Sus scrofa: one gene and its partners. The protein of the gene in region 3 interacts with the protein of the main gene of each other region in a pairwise test. Links are inferred from orthologs where the notes say so. Each region holds a gene or a part of one and is shown on either strand. Other genes may lie near its edges. The genes, in order: TTLL10, DCDC2B and FHL3.

What was found.
Region 1: the proteins of FHL3 (region 3) and TTLL10 interact in binary tests that used the Homo sapiens proteins (3 or more experiments, as listed by UniProt). The two-hybrid records come from large-scale screens. The link is inferred for Sus scrofa from reciprocal best matches to the Homo sapiens genes FHL3 and TTLL10.
Region 2: the proteins of FHL3 (region 3) and DCDC2B interact in binary tests that used the Homo sapiens proteins (3 or more experiments, as listed by UniProt). The two-hybrid records come from large-scale screens. The link is inferred for Sus scrofa from reciprocal best matches to the Homo sapiens genes FHL3 and DCDC2B.

The regions. Positions count from the first base shown.
Region 1 is NC_010448.4:63,493,351-63,497,094, forward strand, and holds the start of TTLL10 (inactive polyglycylase TTLL10), read left to right. Parts: upstream 1-1,408; 5' UTR 1,409-1,821; coding exon 1,822-1,985; intron 1,986-2,085; coding exon 2,086-2,151; intron 2,152-3,744. UniProt on the Homo sapiens protein: Inactive polyglycylase.
Region 2 is NC_010448.4:88,684,585-88,688,328, forward strand, and holds the start of DCDC2B (doublecortin domain-containing protein 2B), read left to right. Parts: upstream 1-1,273; 5' UTR 1,274-1,710; coding exon 1,711-1,976; intron 1,977-3,585; coding exon 3,586-3,637; intron 3,638-3,744. Other genes in the region: IQCC (IQ domain-containing protein C), read left to right, coding at 76-915.
Region 3 is NC_010448.4:93,985,787-93,989,530, reverse strand, and holds the start of FHL3 (four and a half LIM domains protein 3), read left to right. Parts: upstream 1-962; 5' UTR 963-1,003; coding exon 1,004-1,015; intron 1,016-1,665; exon of another isoform or gene 1,666-1,819; intron 1,820-3,744. UniProt on the Homo sapiens protein: Recruited by SOX15 to FOXK1 promoters where it acts as a transcriptional coactivator of FOXK1.

The DNA of each region.
Region 1 (3,744 bases), about 30 Mb from region 3:
CGCAGGAGGATCCCTGCGCTTTTACCCAGAGCAGAGCAGCTGCCCAGTGTACCCGAGCCAAGTACATCTAAGCCCAGAGACAGCCTGGCCACCCAGCTGCCCTGGGGAGACGCGTGCGCCCTGCAGCTCTGGCGGGTTAATGATTGGCTGCCTTGCTCCAGGCTGTGGAGGCAACTGAGCACCCAGCCCCAGGCCATCGTGGGAAAGGCCACTGGGCTGGCACCCACACCAGTTTTTTGGGTTATGAGGCAGTTTTTGAGTTTGAGCCTAGATGTCATGATATTGCCACTTGGGCAGCACCCCTCCCAGCGGTGGGGGGTAGTCACAGAGGAGCAGGGGGTGGGCCAGCCCAGCTGGGAGCCTCCGAGGGGCCTGGGTCTCGAAAAGTGATGTGGGAGGGGGCGTGGGCTCCCAAGGGGGACAGTGCAGGGTTCGGGCTCAGGCTGAGGGAGAGCAAGTGGCCTGCGGGTGACCAGGGCCCCACTGCCCCCCGCCAGGTCAGCTCCTAAGATCAGGACAGCCCTCATCAAGGACTTGGCTAGAGGAGCAGCCCCTACCCCCAGGGCAAAGCGTCTCAGCCACAGACTGGCATGACCACACAGGCAGGCAGGTGGCCGGGGCTGCGTCAGGCTCTGACCAGGGTCAGGATGGCCTCCCCCTAGTGGGGGTTGCTGCACGGGACCCTCAAAGTTCGGAGCGGTAAAGGGGTGGATTCACGTCCTGGGGTGGCCACAGAGAGTTACACAAACGCCGTGTGTTCCCTCAGAGTCCCCGGCCAGGAGCCAGGCATCAGCGCCGCACTCCCACCCCAGGCTCCAGGGAGGGTCCTGCCCGCCTCTTCTGAAGCCAGGGCTCAGGGCCTCCCGGGTGTGGCCGCCTCCCTCCAGCCTACTCCCCCCGCCCCCCATCTTCGGTCAGCCTGTCCCCTCTCTGTCCGCCTCCCTCTCGTGAGGACACTGGTCACTGGATGGAGGGCGCATCAGCCAAAGCCCATCGGCAAGGCCCTTCTTCCCAGTGAGGCTGCGGCCGCAGGTTCGGGGCTCAGGACGAGGACACACACGGGGACCGCGTCCACCCCACAAGAAGCACCCTGAGAAGAGACTCTGGTGACTGCAAGGCTTGGAGGGTGGAGGGGGCGCTGGGCAGGGCCCTGGAGGGGAGCCCCCTCCACCCCTTGGGGGGCGCGGTTTCACCAAGTCCCCGCCTCCTGGACCGTGACATGCCAACTCCACACACTGGGGCTGTGACGAGGGGAGAAACAGAGCAGGAAAAGCCCAGTGAGCAGGAAATGTTATGGGGTCAAGTCGGGGTCTGGGCCCGGCTCTGGGGGTTTTGAGAAGGCTCAGGAATGCTCTGGGAGGATGGAGGGCCCAGGCGGACCCCTTCTCCAGCCTCAGTCGCTCCCCACTCCACCCCCGCCCGCCCCTGCGGCGCTAGCCTCCTGCCCCTCCCAATCCACCTGCTCTCCTGGGGCTGTGGTTGCTGGGAGACGGTTGCCTGGTCACCACTGTTGTTTCCCGGGCAGAGGGCTCACACCACCTGGTCGGGCAGGTAAGTGAGACAGGTGGGCCACCGGCAGGGGTCCAGACCCAGCACGAAGGCTGGGGCCTGCCATCCAGTGCCCCCCACCGGGTTCCCCAGGCCCCCAGGAGCCCTGCGGGTCCTCTCAGGACTCTGCCCAGGAGCATAAAGGAGGCGTGGGAGGGGAGGGGAGGGGAGGGGAGGGGCCACCTGACTGGGCAGAGGCCCCCCTGTGGAGGGCCCGCACCCCCAGGGCCGTGGCGTGAGGGACAGAGACCCCCAGGCTGGGCTGAGAAGGTCATGCTTCCCGGGGATGGCAGCCCCTCAGGCCCAGCTCCTTTGCTCAGGACCAGGTCTGTTTCCCAGAGCCAACTCCCAGAAGAACGGCCTCCTAAAGTCCACGGGGAGCCACGTGCCCCCAGGCAGCTCGCCCCAGGCTGGGAGACACCAGACCATCCAGCAAGGTCAGCACCTCCTAGCGGCCCGTGTGGCCAAACGCGTGTTTCAGAGAAGGCTCCTGGCGGGACTCGGACGTCACCTCCACCCCTTGGATGGTTCCTGCAGGTTCGCGAGCGTCTTCTGCTCATCACACAGGGGCGCCCTTTCCTGCCGGTCTTTTTACCTGACCAGGTAAAAAGTTTACTTACAAATTCATTAGAAAGTTGTTTCCACTGAACCCCCCCCCCCCCGCTCTTCTGCAGCACGTCTGGGGACATGCCCACATTTTGCCACCATACATAACACCCTGTGAACGTCATTCCGCGTGAAGATTTGTTACCATATTTAGAACTGGTCCCTCCGAGAGTCTGAGAAATGCCACTGCTCAGCAGAGCCTCTCAGAACGTCGCTCTGAGCCCTGCGCCCGCCTGCCCTGCTCCCCGTGCTGTGGCCCCGCCGGCCACACCCTGCAGCCCCGGCCCGGTGCCCCCGCCCGTGTGTGTCCCCGGGTCTTTTCCTTTTCTTAATCGTTGCTGATTTGAATAACAAGAAATGGCAATTCACGACCTGTTTAATACTCTTTGAAAGCAATCAAACAACTGGAGTTAAGACACGTCAAATAGAGGCACAGGCTCATAAGGCTTGTGTTGAAAGCCAACGCCCCGTGCCCATCTCCAGGCTCCCGTTTCTGGGGCGTGCCCACTGCAGCATCTGGCTGACACCACAGAAGTTACCCATCAGTGTGGGGGGCACCCACACCACCCACATTCACAGCACAACACAAAGAACGCTGCCTCCAGGCTGGCCGCCTTGCTTGGCACTGGCTGGCCCTCTCATCCTCATTACCACCTGGGCCCTCCTTGAATAGGCGTGACCAGGCAGGCGTCTGCACACGTCCCATGCAGGAACTGTCTTCACAGCAACCTCACCAGAATGCTGTGACCCCCCCAGCCAACCCCGCAGTGGGGACATGAGCACAGAGCTGACCCATGCCACAGTCCCAGCTCCCTTCCCTGGGCCCACCCCTCTGGAGAGAGCCTGCCTCAGGAATCCCCTGAGGGAGGTCTGGAGGCATCACACCCCGCTGGCTGGTCACACCCGGCTGGCTGGCGGCGGGAGCCTTGCCTCCTGCGCTGAGATGTCTCCGGCTGGGTCCCCAGACTCAACAGTCACCCACTTCCTTCTGGAATTCTCCTTTCCAGCCCATTCCCTTGCCATGAACTTCTGACACTTCTCCCGTATCCTGAGTTTCCAGAGCTCTGCCCCAGTCTCTGTCCCTTGGTTCTAACCGTCCCGCCCCCTGGCGGTGGAAGCTGGTCCCGCCTGGCATGTCCCCAGGGCTGTTTCCCGAGCCTCGTCCCCTCTCTTCCTCTGAGCCTGGCTGTGTGCGGCTGTGTCTGTGTGTGTGTGTCCACCTCTGGTTCACACCTGGGGGCCTCCCTCAGATGCCTGTGGATGCAGTGGCCACTCACGTAAAGAGTGCTGGGGGATGGCGCTGACCGGCATTCACGTGGGGGTCCCATGTGCCGGCAGCGGGTGGGTCTCCCAGGCAGCGTGCGGAGTCACGCGCAGGGGCGCACGCGCACACACGCACCCTCCCTGCAGGCTCAGACCTGCCCCCCAGCCAAGCTGGCCCAGTCCAGCCCCCACAGAGAAGCCCTCCTGTTCTGGGGGGTGGGGCTGGGGAGGGGGCTCCGGGTCATCCGCACAGCTCGGCCACACTCGGCAGGGGTGTGAGACCCTCCCAGCGCCTGCTCAGCCCCCGCAGCCATAGAGACAGCTGTT
Region 2 (3,744 bases), about 5.3 Mb from region 3:
GTGGGGTTGGGGAAAAGCCTCTTGCCAGACCCAAGCAGGCCTGCCTGATACAGTGTCTGTTCTCCTCCTCAACAGTACCTGATTCTCAAACAAACACTGAACTCTTCAGAGGTGAACCAGACCAGAGACAAGCCCTGCATGTGCCCAGACCATGGGGGTCAGGGCTGTGAGAAAGGAGAGTCACAACCAGTCCCACCACTGGAAGATCAGTCCTCTAGAGCCAGGCCCACTGGAGAGCCAGACCATGTGGATGACTCCTGCTGGAGACTCAAATCACAGCCCCACAGATCCCCAGAAAGACTGGCCACTACAGACAGAACCACTGCTGGGGCCAAGTACAGGGACTCAGGCTATAGGCGGACGGGACCACAGCTGCCCATACTATCAGATAACCAGGCCGTAGGGAAGAGGTTCAACAAAGAGCCAGACGCTGGGGAACAGATCTTTGGAGGGACCTGCCTGCAACTAACAGAACTTCTAGAGAACCAGACCCCCAAAGGCCTCAAACCTAGGGGCTACTGTTCTGGAAAAGCCAGGACACAGCTGCCCACACTCTGCGAGGACCCATACATTGAAGGCAAGTCTCCCAGAGGGCCAGACCAAAAAAAGCCTGATGGCCAAAAAACTAGACCACGAGAGTTGGGCCTCTCAGAGGACCACGTCATCTGGGATGGGTCTTTGGCAGAGCATGGTGGCCTGGATCTCTGGAAGAATAAACCACCCAAGAGCCAGACCTCCAGTGATAAAAGCTCCAGAGATAGGACCTCCAATGAATCTAGTCATGAAGGGTGGAAAACCCAGAAGACTGTACCGTGGAAATCAAGGCCACCTGAGAAACTGTCTTCCACAGGGTCAGACCACACAGCAGAGGACCACTGGAGGGGCAGGCCGTGGAAAACAGGACCACCAGGATAGACCCTACAGAACCAGGGAGGACCAGGTTCCAAAGGGGGATGCTGTAAAAGGGCAACGAGGGAGACAGGACCTCATCCTAACTCCCTGGTACCAGCTCTGCCTCCTGCCCCTGGCCATTGGGAGGTAATGAGGCAAAGAGAAGCTAGAGCACAGGGCTGGCACCCGCGGGGGGAATGGAAGGAGGAGGATGCTCTTATCCTCAGCCTGTGGCTCAATCCAAATTTGGGGACAGGGAGGTACCTGGGGTGAGTGAAGTTGGCAGGCCTGATGGAGAATAAAGGTTTTCCTTAGCTTCTGAGCCTGGTTGCATTCATTTCTGCCTCTGGTTAAGAGACTCTGGGCCCTCTTGTTTGCTTCCTGCTGACATGAGGCATCTTCCCCAGAGCTGGCTGGGAGCCACAGCCCAGAAGTAGACTAGCTATCTTTGGGGAACAGCCTCCAAAGCTAATCTTCCTTTAAGCTTAGCCCTCCGGGCTACAGAGTGGCAGGGAGGCTCTGAGAATCCTTCCCACCTCCCAGTATGGGACATGGGTGTTTCAGTGTGATCTCTGCCACTGCCTCTCTCACTGCGCCCCTGGCTCTTCCTTCGTATACAGTCATCACATCTGTCCAACTCTTGTGAGGCCCTGCCAAGAGCTGAATGCATGAGACCCTGACTGCAGACACACGCTCCTGTGGAGGCTCTCCCTGCCTTTCTGGGTGAGAGGGCAGGACTCCACCTCTGATGAGCGCTGCTCCCAGCCCTGCCTTAGTTGCCTGGCAACAGCTCGGCGTCTCTAGCCAAGGAGACACACTATGGCTGGTGGCAGGTCAGCAGCCAAGAGGGTAGTGGTGTACCGGAACAGGGACCCCTTCTCCCCAGGCCACCAGCTAGTGGTGACTCAACGCCGCTTCCCCACCCTGGAGAGCCTCTTCTGTGAGGTGACAACAGCTGTGCAGGCCCCACTAGCTGTGCGGGCTCTCTACACGCCTTTTCATGGCCACCCTGTCACCAACCTGGCAGACCTGCAGAACGGAGGGCATTATGTGGCTGCTGGTTTTGAACAATTCCGCAAACTCTCGTGAGTGGGCTGGGAGTGGTCAAAGAGGCTGGGGAGGGAGGTAACAGCAATAGCAACAGCGTGTATTCAGTACGTAATTGTGTGCCTTGGGAGTTCCCGTCGTGGCGCAATGGTTAACGAATCCGACTAGGAACCATGAGATTGAGGGTTCGATCCCTGGCCTTGCTCAGTGGGTTGAGGATCTGGCGTTGCAGTGAGCTGTGGTGTAGGTTGCAGACACAACTCGGATCCCTCGTTGCTGTGGCAATGGTTAACGAATCCGACTAGGAACCATGAGGTTGAGGGTTCGATCCCTGGCCTTGCTCAGTGGGTTGAGGATCTGGCGTTGCAGTGAGCTGTGGTGTAGGTTGCAGACACAACTCGGATCCCTCGTTGCTGTGGCTGTGGTGTAGGCTGGCGGCTACAGCTCCAATTAGACCCCTAACCTGGGAATCTCCCTATGCTGCGGGAGTAGCCCTAGAAAAGGCAAAAAGACGAAATTAATTAATTAATTAAAAAGAAAACAAAAAACAACTGTCTTGTGGAGTATGGCAACCCCATGAAGGGGTGGTCTTATCCCCGTTCTTTGCAAGGGGAAATCAAGATAGTGAAATAACCTGCCTGAGAGTATACAAGTAACAAAAGTGGACCCATGGTTCAAGTCAGAGTGACACTGATGTTCATGCCGGTGGGAAGAGGAACACTCCCACTGGTTGAGCCCCTTTTTCCAAAGGCTCTTCTTAACTGGATCCTCTGCCCCCATCACCAGCACCACCAAATACTCTAATCCATCCAGCACTTCCTCCTTGCTGCATTTAGACACCAACTACTCTCCATTTAGGCTGGGATCACCCTTTACAGGGTGGGTCTGTGCTTTCCAAGATGGGAGAACAATCTGAACAACTGAGCTTCCAACTCAGATCTGGCTTCCAGGGTCTTCCTCGGCTTTCAGCTGACATTGCTCACTGTAATGGAAGGAGCATGGAGTTGGGAGCTAGACAGACTTAGAATCTGGGCTCTGTCATTTCTGTGTCACTTAGGTGAGTCACTGAAGTTACTCTCAGTCTCACATAAAATGAGATAAAACCACCTACACCTCATGAATGTGGAAATTTGAGACAGTAGGATCTCAGCCTTTAATGTTGTGGTTTGTTGTCTAAGATCCCAGTCTGGATGTTCAGCCTGATACAGGGCCTAAGGCAGGTTCAAATGTCAGCATCTGGAGTTCCCGTCTGACTCAGCGGAAACAAATCCAACTAGGAACCATGAGGTTGCGGGTTTAATCCCTGGCCTTGCCCAGTGAGTTAAGGATCTGGCATTGCCATGAGATGTGGCATAGATCGCAGACACGGCTCGGATCTGGGCTGTGGCTGTGGCGTAGGCCCATTGCTGTAGCTCCGATTTGACCCCTAGCCTGGAAACCTCCATATGCCACAGGTGCAGCCCTAAAAAGACAAATAAATAAATAAATAAAACAAGTGTCAGCATCTGTTTCTGGATTGCTGACTGAGACTATTCTACTTGGAAGGGAGACCTGGTAAGCTGGACCCCAGCCCTGCACTCTGGTAGCTGCTTGGTTGTTGCGATCCCAGGCTCTCCGAGATGACCTGTGATCTGTCTGTCCTTTCAGCTATTTATCCCCCGGGAGGAAGGATCCAGGTGGGACGAGCAGCAGACTACCAGTGAGTCCTGGGGCAGGCTGTCCCCTGCCCAGTCCTCCCGCCCCTCCAGGGATTGCCCCCAGTTTGGTCTGGGAAGTCAGGGGGCCTGGAAGCCGCAGGATCTGCCA
Region 3 (3,744 bases):
GGAATCAAACCCACATCCTCATGGATACTAGTCGGATTTGTTTCCACTGTGCCACAACTGGGAACTCCCAGTAAACCCTTTCTTGCCCTCATCCAACCAGGCAGTCTTCCCTGCACTCCCCAGGGCTGGGAGTCTCCTACACCTGCAAGATAAGTTCCAGAGCAAGGGTCAACACAGGCACTGGCTGCTTCCTCCCCGGACTCCAGAAGCATATGCCTGCAGTCCAATCCGGGCACCTAAGGGTCCAATGACATGGAAGCAGTGTTTGTCACTCATTCATTCATCAGATATTTATTAAGTGCCAGAATCAGAAGGACCTGGTCCCTGCCCTCATGGCCCTTACAGTTTAGGCATGAGGAACAATGATAATTAACAAGCAGTTAGTTAATTTTGAAAGGAAACCTGGCCTCCAGGGTGTCTTGGGGCCCTCAGGCAGGCATGGGATTCAGAGGTTGGAGAGGAGGGTACTCAGGAGCCCCAGCCTGGGAAGGAATGAGTCTCTGCCCAGGGAGCTTGTTTGGACCCAGCCTGGGGGATGGGAGAGCCTCTCTGGGCACCTGAACCTCTACTCTAGACCCTGAGGTTATTTCCAGGGTTGGTTTGTTGTCTCTTGTTTTGCAAACAGCCCAGCAGAGCCTCCTCCTCCCTCCCCAACCCTTCCAGACCATGGCTATTTATTCCTAGTGACAAGCCTGAGGATCCCAGGGGGGTTGGCCTCAAGGACCTGGAGGGGCCTTGTGTCCCTGGCAGGCGCCAGTCCTCCCTCCCCGCAGGGCAGGACCCAGGGAGGAAGCCAGAAGGTTAGAAACTGCAGAGGTCGGGGAGAAGAACTTCTCTCCACCACCCCTGCAGCGCCCTGTCCATGCACACTCCTCACACTCCTTCCTGAGAAGCTCAAAAACCACGGGGGGGGGGGGGAAGGATTAGGGTATCCCCTGGGCCTCAAAGGTCAAAACTATTCCTGGACACAGTGAAAACCAAGGGAGGATTTCTCTGTTCCACCATGCAGCAGGAGGTGAGGAGGTGGTTACTCGTTTTCACGCTCAGGGTGGGAGAATAAAGCCCTTTGAAGGTCAAGGCCCTCTGGAGGGGGTCCTTGCTTCACTCCTGGTTTCCGCGGAACACCTAGGTTCCCACTTACAGAGCTGTGACAGCAGGGCCAAGCCCCCAGCCCCACCCCCAGGCTGGAATGAGTCCTCTAGTACACCTTCGGGCAGTGTGATCCCTGGGGGTAAACTGGGAGGGGGCGAGGACACGAAGAGGGCATGAGGTCCCCAAATGGACCTTGGTCGGCTGCCTCCTGTATCCTTTGCCCGAGATTGAACACAGCTAACCGCTGGGGGTGGGGGGGGGCCGGGAGAGGGGGCGAGCAAGGAGGGAGGACAGCAAAAGCTGCAGGGAGGGGACAGGGGCGGGGTCCTGGCCGCTCGGGAAGGTTGCGAGAGCCAGGTTAGGCCTGGAAGGCCGAGGGGGCTGGGGCTGGCTCCGATCTAAAAGGGAGGTGGGGGCGGGGTCTGCCCCCCTCCCCAGCCCCTAGCCACGGGGACCTGGGGCCGGGGGCGGGGTCCGCACCCCGCGGGCAGGGGCGGCCGGGGGCGGGGTCCGGGCGGGGCGGGCCCCAGCGCTCACTTCCTCGAGGAGGGGTTGGGGCCGCGCTCCCACTCGCCCACACAGTCCGTGTGCAGCCGGCAGCCTAGCCGGTAGCTCGCTCGGCCCCGCTCGGCCTGGCCCGCAGGTAGGAGCCGCCGAGGGACGCGGCCCCGGCTGCCCGGCCCTCCCTGCTCGAGCGCCGCGCCTCGCTCCCGCCGCCCGCTTCGAGGTGAGCTCCGCGCCGAGCCCCGCTCCCCATCCCGGCTCCCGGCCCTCGCCCTCGGGCGGGAAGGTAGAGGCGACCCACCGGGGGTTCAGAGCAGCCATGGCCCCCGCCTCTTGCCCTTTGCCTCCGCCGGGGTCCGGCCGCGGGCGCCAGGGACGCTCTGGGAGCCGGTGGCGCGGGGGCGCCGAGCCCTGAGGGGCGCCACGGGGACCGCACCGCCCCGGGCCTCCTGGCGGGGCGGGCGCTGCTACGCGAGTTGGGCGGGGGAAGGGGGCCAAGTTTGAAATGGAAAACCAGCGTCGAGAGCTACCGGGAGGGTTCGAGAAACCGGCTTCCAAAAAGCCTGGTGGAGCCAGAAACCGAGACAGCATAAGGAGTGACAAGCTTGGAGAGGAGGCTGCAGAGATTCCCGAAACAGGGACAGAGACTTGGGCGTAGAGTCACCGGGAGGCAGACCCGAGGCGTAGGGACCCCTCCGAGGTTTTGTGGAGCGGAGCATTTTAAGGAAAAGCATGTAATGACCCCAGAGGTGTTGTCGGCCTTTCCCAGAGCCTTGGAAGGTTCTGGGCAAGTGAGGGGCTCCAAAGCTTAAGCTTCATTAGCCTCGTGGTAAAGCAGCCTTGGAGAGGCCTAGAAAGATCCAGAGTCTAGAGTCGGAGACACTCAGGCATAGAGATGCTAAGAGATAGAGAAGGACGGTGGGGGAGGACCAAGACATTCCACCTTTTAGAGACATTGAGATGCCAAGGCTTGGGTGGACGGAGGGAGAAATCCACCGAGGCTGTCGTTGGGAGATGGCCAGTAGAGATACAGAGACATGGAAACATAAAGACAGCTGCCAAAGTGTGCAGACACAGACGTGCTGAGTGGAGCAGAGCTAGACATCAAGAGACAGATGTCATGGAGGCACAGTGACAGCTTCCAAGACAGACCCACGGGACTCAGGCCCAAAAGACTGGGAAGTGAGGATGTGGGGAGACAGAAACTCTAGACCAGTCAATCCCCCATGAGGATCTGAGACAGTAAGACACAGCAAGAAGGAGCCCCATGCAGTCCCCCAATCAGCTCCAACTTATTTTTAAACTCAAATCTTGGGCGCACTGCTTCAGTCCAGGGGGACCCGGGGTGAATGAACTGTTCCTTTCTGTCCCCAGAGCAGCTGCTGGATCCTGCTTCCCACCCCGCCTTCCCCCAAACCGCTCTGACTCCCAGCCCTCATGGGGGGAGGGGAGAGAGCCCGGAGAGTTTGGGGTTGATGCCTAGTTGGGGGGGGAGGGAAGAGTTTGGTTTCTCCCCTCAAGTCTCTTGTGAGCTCCTGTAAGCTGGGGGAGGGTCTGTGCTGATTCTGAGTCACAGCTGTGGGACCTGGCCAGGGTCCTCCTAGACATTGTGGGGGGGAAGGGCAAAGGGGGTTGAGCGGTTGGCATGGGTACTTGGAAAGGCTTCTGGGTGTCTTCCAGTCACAGGGCTGGCAACTGGGGAGAAGAGCCAGGCTCCTGTCCCAGTGATATCACCTAGCATCTCCTGTCCCCCTGCTCTTAAATGCTGACCACCCCCTCAGCCACTGCAACATTTCTAGGGAAAGAGAAACGGACTTCAGGCTGAGAGGCAGGGGACCTAGGATCTCATACCAGAGTGACTTTGGGCATGTCTCTGCCCTGTCCCTGGCCGCCGTGCTCAGCTGTAAAACGGGGATGATGTCCTATCCCGCCTGCCGTTTGGGAGATCTGATTGGTGGTGGGTGGGCGGCATTGCACTTTGTGAGAAGCCAAACAGCACGCTAGTGTCTACTCTTCTGTACCTGTGTTGGAGATTTCAGAGTTACGCTCACTGGTGTCAGACCTGCCCCCACTGGTCTTAGTGAGCACCACGCCTGGGTCTCTTTAACGGAGAACTAAGGCTTTCCCTCCTTGTTCTCTCCCTGAGCC